Callithrix jacchus: one gene and its partner. The protein of the gene in region 1 interacts with the protein of each later gene in a biochemical or structural test. Links are inferred from orthologs where the notes say so. Each region holds a gene or a part of one and is shown in the gene's direction. Other genes may lie near its edges.

The links.
Region 2: the proteins of SORBS1 (region 1) and FLOT1 form a complex in vitro, tested with the Homo sapiens proteins (2 studies listed by BioGRID). The link is inferred for Callithrix jacchus from reciprocal best matches to the Homo sapiens genes SORBS1 and FLOT1.

Annotation. Positions count from the first base shown.
Region 1 is NC_133513.1:88,432,856-88,437,145, reverse strand, and holds the start of SORBS1 (sorbin and SH3 domain-containing protein 1), read left to right. Parts: upstream 1-1,380; 5' UTR 1,381-1,434; intron 1,435-4,290. UniProt on the Homo sapiens protein: Plays a role in tyrosine phosphorylation of CBL by linking CBL to the insulin receptor. Required for insulin-stimulated glucose transport. Involved in formation of actin stress fibers and focal adhesions.
Region 2 is NC_133505.1:35,533,715-35,537,983, reverse strand, and holds the start of FLOT1 (flotillin-1), read left to right. Parts: upstream 1-1,467; 5' UTR 1,468-1,651; intron 1,652-1,991; 5' UTR 1,992-2,005; coding exon 2,006-2,048; intron 2,049-2,312; coding exon 2,313-2,388; intron 2,389-2,475; coding exon 2,476-2,566; intron 2,567-2,847; coding exon 2,848-2,991; intron 2,992-3,362; coding exon 3,363-3,482; intron 3,483-3,569; coding exon 3,570-3,665; intron 3,666-3,850; coding exon 3,851-4,003; intron 4,004-4,269. Other genes in the region: IER3 (radiation-inducible immediate-early gene IEX-1), read left to right, coding at 56-316. UniProt on the Homo sapiens protein: May act as a scaffolding protein within caveolar membranes, functionally participating in formation of caveolae or caveolae-like vesicles.

The DNA of each region.
Region 1 (4,290 bases):
CACCAAAGACGTGTCACTGTTCCCTGACATCTAAGAACCTTTGCTGATGAGTTTCCAATCAGCCTGTGCAGTCATCAAGGCCAGTCTTTACCCTGCCACCCACAGCCTGTTCACTGAGAATGTGCTCTGGCTGAAGATTTTTGCAAGGGCAGCTGACAAACATCAGTTGTGCTCAGGCCAAGGGGCGACTGTCTTATCTTCAGGGATGTGGGAACACAGTCATGGAGGGAGCAAGTTCCAGACCAGTACTTGCTGGCTCCGCGACCTTGGGCCAGCAGTTTCCTCACTCTGATCCCTGCCTCTGTTTCCTTTTCTGTAACTCTGAGGGGGACTAGAGGAGCTCAGGAGAATGGTATAGCACAGTGGCTAGCTCTGAACCCTATCCAACACGGTGCCTTCCCTCCACTTGCAATGACCCTGTTGCATTGTATTCACTCTACTTTTCACATTGCAGAGGATCTTACTTACTTGTTTGCCATTAAAATGGAAGCTTCCTGAAGGAAGAGGCCTTGCCTGTCTTGTTCTCTGCAGTTAACACCAGGGTCCGGCACTGCCACAGAGCCTCTAAAAATATGTGTGTTGCATGAGTGAAACCTCAGAGCCTGGGTTCAAATCCTGATTGCCCCACTTGCTGTATGACCTCGGACAAGCCACTTAAACTACATCTCAGTTTTCTCGCTTAAAAAATAGTAATTATTTTCAGTTTTCCCACTTGAAAAATATGGATTAGTAATCGTTCCTCTCTTACCAGGCTGAGAGGATCAAATGAGGAAATATCCAGGAAGCATTAAGCACATTGGCTGGTACAGAGCACACTGATGATAACAGCAAACGTTTATTGTAGCACGACAGCCAGGCACTGATCTAAACGCATCACGTATGTTAACTATGTTAATCTTCACTAGATTTTACGAAATCGGTACTATTATGCCATTTTACTGATGGGTAAACTGAGGTCCAGGGGTTAAGTAACTTATCGCTGTCATTTTACATTTAAGGGTTCTTCCAAGCTCTCCGTGGGCGACCCCTCTTGAAGGACCAGAAGGTGCGTCAGGCCAGCGTCCGGCCCAGTCCGCGGCCTGGCCAGGACGGAAAGTGATACTTGGCCCGCGCGCGCGTTACCGGCGGGCTCACAAAGCCGGGAGACTCGGGCCGGGCGCCGGACGCTTCCTTGCCTCCCATCCACGCACACGCCCCTTCCTGTCACGGCTGGGCCCGGCACCGCCCCCTGGCACCGCCCGCTGGCCGGGAGCTGCCAGAGTGGACGGTTCCAGAGGCATGCTAATGAGGGGGCGGGCGCCGCAGCCCATTGGCGGTCCGCGGAGTGTTGGTGAAGTCAGCTCCGAGTCCCAGAAAAACAGAGCGGGGCCAGCTTGCAGCGTGTAGTGCGAGAGGGGCGGACGCGCGCAGCCCGCCCGCCCGGCGACCAGCAAGGTAAGCCAGCGCCCGCCCGTCCGCGCTCGCCCGCTCGGCGGCGGCAACGCCGGGGGTGTGCGCGGCCAGGCCCCCGCGGGCGGCGCCTTTGTTCCGCGCCCGGAGGAGGCGCATTTAAAGGGCCAGCTGTTGGAGGGACCTGGGGGACCCCCCCTCCCCCAGAGCATCCCCCGATGGGCACGGGGAAAGCGGTGGTCGCCCGCGTCCGAACCGTGCATCCTGCCTGCTCGGCGGATCCCCAGTCTTTCAAGGAGAGTTCCCCAGGGTGCGGAGGATATGAGGGCTTCCAGGGTTGGGTGTTTTTTTTTTTTCTTATTTTGGTGGGTGGAGGGTAGTGCGATCATGGCCTCTGCTAGGAGAGAATGTCCTCCCGTCTCAGGGTGGCTGCAATGTGGGTGGGTGGAAGAGACATCAAACCCCGGATGGGTTTGTGCTGTAAAGTGAAACTACCGAGGAGGGGCACCTCTGCAGCAGCCAGAGGAAGGCGGAGGGAGCGAGCGGCAGGATGGAGGCATCTCAGGTGTGTTCATTCATCAGCATCCCTGGGAGAGGGTGGCGGGAGGGGCGCGAGGACGCCTCGGCTGGCCGGACCCGCCTGAATGAACCGGGACGAGTGTGCGCCGGGGACACCGCGCCTGCCCGTGCCGCCCGTGCCCCTTCCTCTCCCCGAGTGGCTGACAGCATCTTGCTAGGCAGCTCGTCACCGACATGGACAGCAAGCAACTCCTTTCTCCGAATTCCCCGGGCATCCCCCGCTCTCACCTCGCTGCTTTTCGACGTGGCTTCCTAGATACGCGGTAGCGCCATTCAAGATAGAGGGAAAGAGGCTTGAAGTCATTATGTTTCCTTCATGGGGGGGAATGTGCGGTCGAATTCTGCATCCCCATGCCTCCGCTGTTGTAAGATGGCTTTGAAATTCACCAGTGCATGCTTTCTCCAGGCAGACAAGAATTTATTACGCTATTACATTGCTACATAAAAGCAGAAGGGATCCCACTGAGCGTGGCTCGTTTTATTCAGTCCCCGGGTTTTCCCAGCAGGTTCTGGGCGAGCCTTTGGATTTTTGTTTTAAATACTGAGCGCTGGATGCCCCTGTTGTCACAGGGCCGACCTGCTGAAATTGCTGGAATTGGTTTCACCGTCAATAGGAGAGAGGTTCATCTAGAGACATCATGGAACCTATCTGGCATGTCAGGCCTCTGACTCCATCTCTCCCCTCAACAGCCCCCCGCCCCCCGCGCCCTTTTTCCTCTCTTAAGGGGAGGCTGTGGACGGATTGGCTGTCTTCACTCTCCTTGTGTTTTGAGCTCCTCTGCTTAGATTCAATTCTGTGTTTTTGGTTGAAAAGGTAGCTTGGTGTGATCGAAGAGAGGAGGGTTGGATTAAAAATGGGGTGGGCAGCAGCGGGGTCAGCAGCATCAATGATAGAAAACATGATGGACATATCTTCAGCTTTCAGACACAGATAAGGTAGATGGCTGTCTTCTGAGTGAGGGGCATATTTTTGGGGCTGTGATGGGGAGGGGTGGAGGAAGAGGATGCCTCCAGCAGTTCTCTGCCCTGCCCTCTAGATGCTGCTTTAAATAGCCCCTCGCCAACCAAGCTCTGATGTCTTCTTGGCCTGAGGGGAAAAGAGGGAAGGATTGGTCTGTTGGTACCTTTGCCCTAGGCACCATTGGAGCAGATTGTTAGGAAAGGGTTAGTTCTCAAGGGGTTTCAGAGCACGTTTCTCAGCTGGAGGGCCCTGAGACCACTCCTTTGGCGACTTCCCTGCAGAGAAATAGCAACTGAAATGAAGTCCTGTCTACCCTCTGGGGTAAAGAGATGGGAGGGTATTATCTTGTGGACGACACCCATTCCTACCTGCTTTCATTTGTTGTAGCTGGAGAGTTTCTGTAAACTTTTCAGAAGGGATCGGGCATATTGGGGAGTGGGTAGGAGTTATGGGAAAGGATGAGCAAATGCTTCTTCCTGGCAGAACAAAGCACTGTTCAGCTGTTCCCCTCTTTCCCCTTCTCTAAAATAGAGTTCAATACAGATAGCAGAGTCTAGGGTTTTCTTTGCAAAGAATGAAAGGGCAGGGCCCAGGAAAGAAAGCTTTTATTGTGCAGCATTGATAATCTTCAGATCATCCAGACTTATCTCCAGACCCCTCCCTGGATGTGGAGATAGATTTGCTGTAGAGGGCACTCCATGGTAGGATTTGACCTGTCTGTAGGAGAAAGGCAGGGATGGTTTCCAAAAGCTTTGGTGGAAGAGAGCTCTGGACCAGAGGCAGGTCAGCTGGCTTTGGTCCTGGCCACTAATCTTTGGGCTTTGGGCTAGTGGCTTCTGCTCTCTGGGCCTGTATCCTTGCTGATGAAGTGGAGGATGTTAGAGCAGAGGGTCTTCCAGGGTTCCTGACAACTCTACTGTTCTTAGAGTCACAGTTTGTGATGGCATTTTTAGTTTCTTGTTTGCTAAACTGATATTAAATTCCAAGTATTGCACAATGGCATGAAAGAAGCATTCTAGAACTCAGGCTTCTGTTGGACTCACATCTACCTTTCCCTTGATTGTGTGATTTTTGAGGTTTAACTGTACATAAATAATTCAGAGCTAGAATGGCCCAGAGTGAGAGACACAGACCCCAGAGTGAGTGGTTGTCTGTGGGTGATGAGGGTGAGATGATAGATTGCTGAGGAAAGGGAGTTTCTGTAATTTGTTCTCTTTCCCTGTGGATGTTTAACTTGCTGGGTTATTTATGGTTATACAGGTGAACATTTACCTATCTAGAAGATGAGAGTTGTAAAAGACCTCTGTGATTGCCATGTTCCACCCCCCAACTCACTAAGGAATTTGAAGGGGTGGGAGGTT
Region 2 (4,269 bases), on another chromosome or scaffold:
ACGACCGGACTCCAGAAGCCTGATCTGACCTGTCTCCTTTTTTGTCTCCCTTTAGGTCCGGCGCCAGCTGCCAGTCGAGGAACCGAACCCAGCGAAAAGGCTTCTCTTTCTGCTGCTCACCATCGTCTTCTGCCAGATCCTGATGGCTGAAGAGGGTGTGCCGGCGCCCCTGCCTCCGGAGGACGCCCCCAGCGCCGCATCCCCGGCTTCCACCCCTGTGCTCCCTGTTCTCGAGGCCTTTAATCTGACCTCGGAGCCCTCGGACTACGCTCTGGACCTCAGCACTTTCCTCCAGCAACATCCGGCCGCCTTCTAACTGTGACTCCGCACTTCCAAAAAAGAATCCGAAAAACCACAAAGAAACACCAGGCGTACCTGGTCCGAAAGAGCGTATCCCAAACTGGGACTTAGAGGCAATTCGAACTCAGAACACTACAGCGGAGACTCCTGCAGGTGCTTGAGGCGGGCCAAGGCGCACAGAGACCGAGGCACGGCCACGCTGGGGCTAGGCCCGGTGGGAAGGAGAGCGTCGTTAATTTATTTCTTATTGCTCCTAATTAATATTTATATGTATTTATGTACATCCTCCTAGGTGATGGAGGGGTGCACGTAATATTTATTTTAACTTATGCAAGGGTGTGAGATGTTCCCCCTACTGTAAACGCAAGTCTCTTGGTATTTATTGAACTTTGTGGGACTGGTGGAGGCAGGACACCTGGAACTGCGGCAGAGTAGAAGAAATGGGGAGGACTCGGGTGGGGGAGGACGTCCCGGCTGGGGTCAAGTCTGGTGGTGGGTCGTAGGTTTAGGAGGTGACATTGCGTCCTCCAGCCTCTCAACTCCGTCTGTCTACTGTGAGACTTTGGCGGACCGTTGGGCAGGAGATCCGTGGCCTTCGATCTCCTCGAAGTCGCCCTTAAAGGGCGGCTGCGGGGTAGAAGGTTGGGGGTTGGTGGGCTGTCACGGGGCGACTGTCGAAATCGCCGAGTATGTTCTGTGAACAAATAAACTTGATTTACTGTCTGCAGTCTTAAGTGTGTCTTTGCAAGCGCCGACTCCCCACTCCTCCCCGTCTTCAGATGCCGAGGACCGGCGGGAGGCGCAGTGGCCAAGTCCCCAGCCAGCGAGCCCCTTTAACTGGAGTCAGAGAACCCAGCATCCGGTTGCCGGATGCAGTCGTTCATTGCCTAGTTTGCGGTTTTCCCAGGTAGTTGCCCCGCGGCGAATCCGAAATGTGGCAATCACCCTTACGCCGGGGTGCCGGGTCCGCCGAGGTCAAGTCCCGCGCCTGGGGCGGAGCTTGGAACAGCCTGGGCGGTTCTCCTCTCAGGAAGGGCGGTGGTTTGGGCGGCAGGGCCTTGGCCCTCCCCGGGCTAACCAGGCCCCGGGCTGCGGACCCGAGCGGGGCCTGCCGGGAAAGGGGCGGGACGAGCGCGCGGGCCGAGGCGTGGCGAGGTGGGGGTGTTTAGTCCGCTGCGGGGGGCGGGGTCGCGTCTGCCGCAGCAACAGGGTGCGGCAGGGTGGGGAACGCGGGAGCAGGCCCAGCTCCCAGGAAGGCTGGTCGGCGAGCGGCCCCTGCTCGGCTTCCAGGTCCCTGCGCGTCCCCGCCCTTCCCTAGACCCCAGCCCGGCCGCCACCCGCGTCCGGGAAGGTGAGTCGGGGAGGGGAGCCTGGGGCTGCGGAGAAGCAGGGAGGGAGGGGAAAGGGCTGCAGGTCTCTGGGCGCGGGGGACCTTTATCAAAGGGGAAACCGTCGGCTCCGAGGCGGGAGAGCGGCTAGGGGAAGGGAGGAACCGTAAACAGGCGGGGAACAGGTCGCTTGGGATCTTAAGGATTTCGCAGGGGAAAGCCTTAGCAGACCCATGGATGCAGAAGGGACGGGCTGTGGCGGATGCAGACTGGGAGGGCCTGATGGGGAAGGTAAAGGATGGACCCCTGTGGACGCCACAGCCCCGCTTCCCCATTCGCAAAGGCTTTCCCTCCCTCCTCCAGCTCCAGCCTAAACAATGTTTTTCACCTGTGGCCCAAATGAGGCCATGGTGGTCTCCGGTAAGTACTTTTCCCTTCCCAGCCAGTGGCTCCAGAACCTCTGTGAGTCTGGCTTCTGCCCCTTCTCCCTTCCTACCAGCTTCCCAGCGCCAGACTTATGCCCCCGAACTGCCCAGTTTCATCCCCACCATTTCAAGGCCCAAACTGCTTCCCCTCCAGCTCCCAGATACTCTCCTGTGGGTTGCTTTCCCCTCACCCCCGCCAGATCCTCAGTCTTCCACATTCAAGCTCTGCCACAGTTGCTCACTGCTCCTCACCTTGCAGGGTTCTGCCGAAGCCCCCCTGTCATGGTGGCTGGAGGACGTGTCTTTGTCCTGCCCTGCATCCAGCAGATCCAGAGGTAGGCAAGATGGGAACTAAGGAAGGGGAACCTCCGTTTTCTCTTTTTCCTCCTTTTCTTACTGTCTGCCCCTTCTTTTTCCCTTAGGATCTCTCTCAACACACTGACCCTCAATGTCAAGAGTGAAAAGGTTTACACTCGCCATGGGGTCCCCATCTCAGTCACTGGCATTGCCCAGGTGAGGCTCTCAGAGCCTTTTCCCCAAAGTCCATTTCCCCATTACCCTCTTTCCCAGACATTAAGACATGTTCCGGCCACAACCTTTGCAATCCTTGCCTGCAGAGAAATTTCTCTGCTAGTCTCATCTTCTCCAGGCACCCACAAGGCACTTGGCTCCTCCTCCTTTCTTTCCCTGAAATGGAAGAAGCATTTCTTAGCGGGCTCCCCCTTCTCTCTCTGCTTCTTCTCTGACTTAATGAGATCCCCACCACACCTTTCCTGTCCCTATTCTGGCTGCAGGTAAAAATCCAGGGGCAGAACAAGGAGATGTTGGCAGCCGCCTGTCAGATGTTCCTGGGAAAGACTGAGGCTGAGATTGCCCACATTGCCCTGGAGACGTTAGAGGGCCACCAGAGAGCCATCATGGCCCACATGACTGTGGAGGTTGGCCTGGGGGCAGGGAACGATCTGGAAGGATGCCAAAATGAGGGGGGCCCAAGGACCACACTAGCCTGTGAGAGACAGTGGATCCAAGAGCTTCCATCCCAGCCGGGCAGGGTGGTTCCCAGCACTTTGGGAGGGCAGGGTGGGTGGATCACTTGAGATCAGGAGTTCGAGACTAGCCTGGCCAACCTGATGAAACCCCGTCTCTACTAAAAGTACAAAAATTAGCCAGGCATGGTGGTAGTCATCTGTAATCCTAGATACTTGGAAGGCTGAGGCAGGATAATCATTTGAACCCAGCAGGTAGAGGGTGCAGTAAGCCAAAAACGAAAGAGCTTACATCCCCTCTCCCCACCATCCTGTTATTACAGGAGATCTATAAGGACAGACAGAAATTCTCAGAGCAGGTTTTCAAAGTGGCCTCCTCAGACCTGGTCAACATGGGCATCAGCGTGGTTAGCTACACTCTGAAGGACATTCACGATGACCAGGTAAAACTAGGTGATTGATCCTTCCCCATTTCCTTGCTCCCATCTCTTAAGCCCTCCGAAGGGTTAATTTCTACATGTCTCCTACAGGACTATTTGCACTCTTTGGGGAAGGCTCGAACAGCTCAAGTTCAAAAAGATGCACGGATTGGAGAAGCAGAGGCCAAGAGAGATGCTGGGATCCGGGTGAGAGAGATGGGGGTTGCTTGGTGGGAAAGGGGATAGAAGTGGCACAACTGAGTAGGAGCAGGAGTGCTGGGTGAGCAGGGAAAATACATGAGGCAGACCAAGAACGCTGGTGGGAAGTGGCTCTCACCATGGCCTTTCCTCTCCCTCCCCTGACATTTCCTACCTGATCTCTGCTTCCACAGGAAGCTAAAGCCAAGCAGGAAAAGGTGTCTGCTCAGTACCTGAGTGAGATCGAGATGGCCAAGGCACAGAGAGATTACGAGCTGAAGAAGGCCGCCTGTGACATCGAGGTCAACACCCGACGAGCACAGGCTGATCTGGCCTATCAACTTCAGGTCAGAGCCACCGCACTGGGCAGACGGCCGGCCCACTCTCTGCCCCTTCCCCATTCCTCTCAGGCTGTCCATCTCAGGACACCACTATTTCTCATACTCTTTGATCTTATTCTGAGTCTCCATCTCTGGCTCAACTCCCCCATTTGAGGAAAGATTTAAAAGACTCAGATGTTACAGCTGAAAAGCTTTAAAGAAAAGGCCAGCCAGGTGTGGTGACTCATGCCTGTAATCCCAGCACTTTGGGAGGCCCAGGCAGTCTGATCACT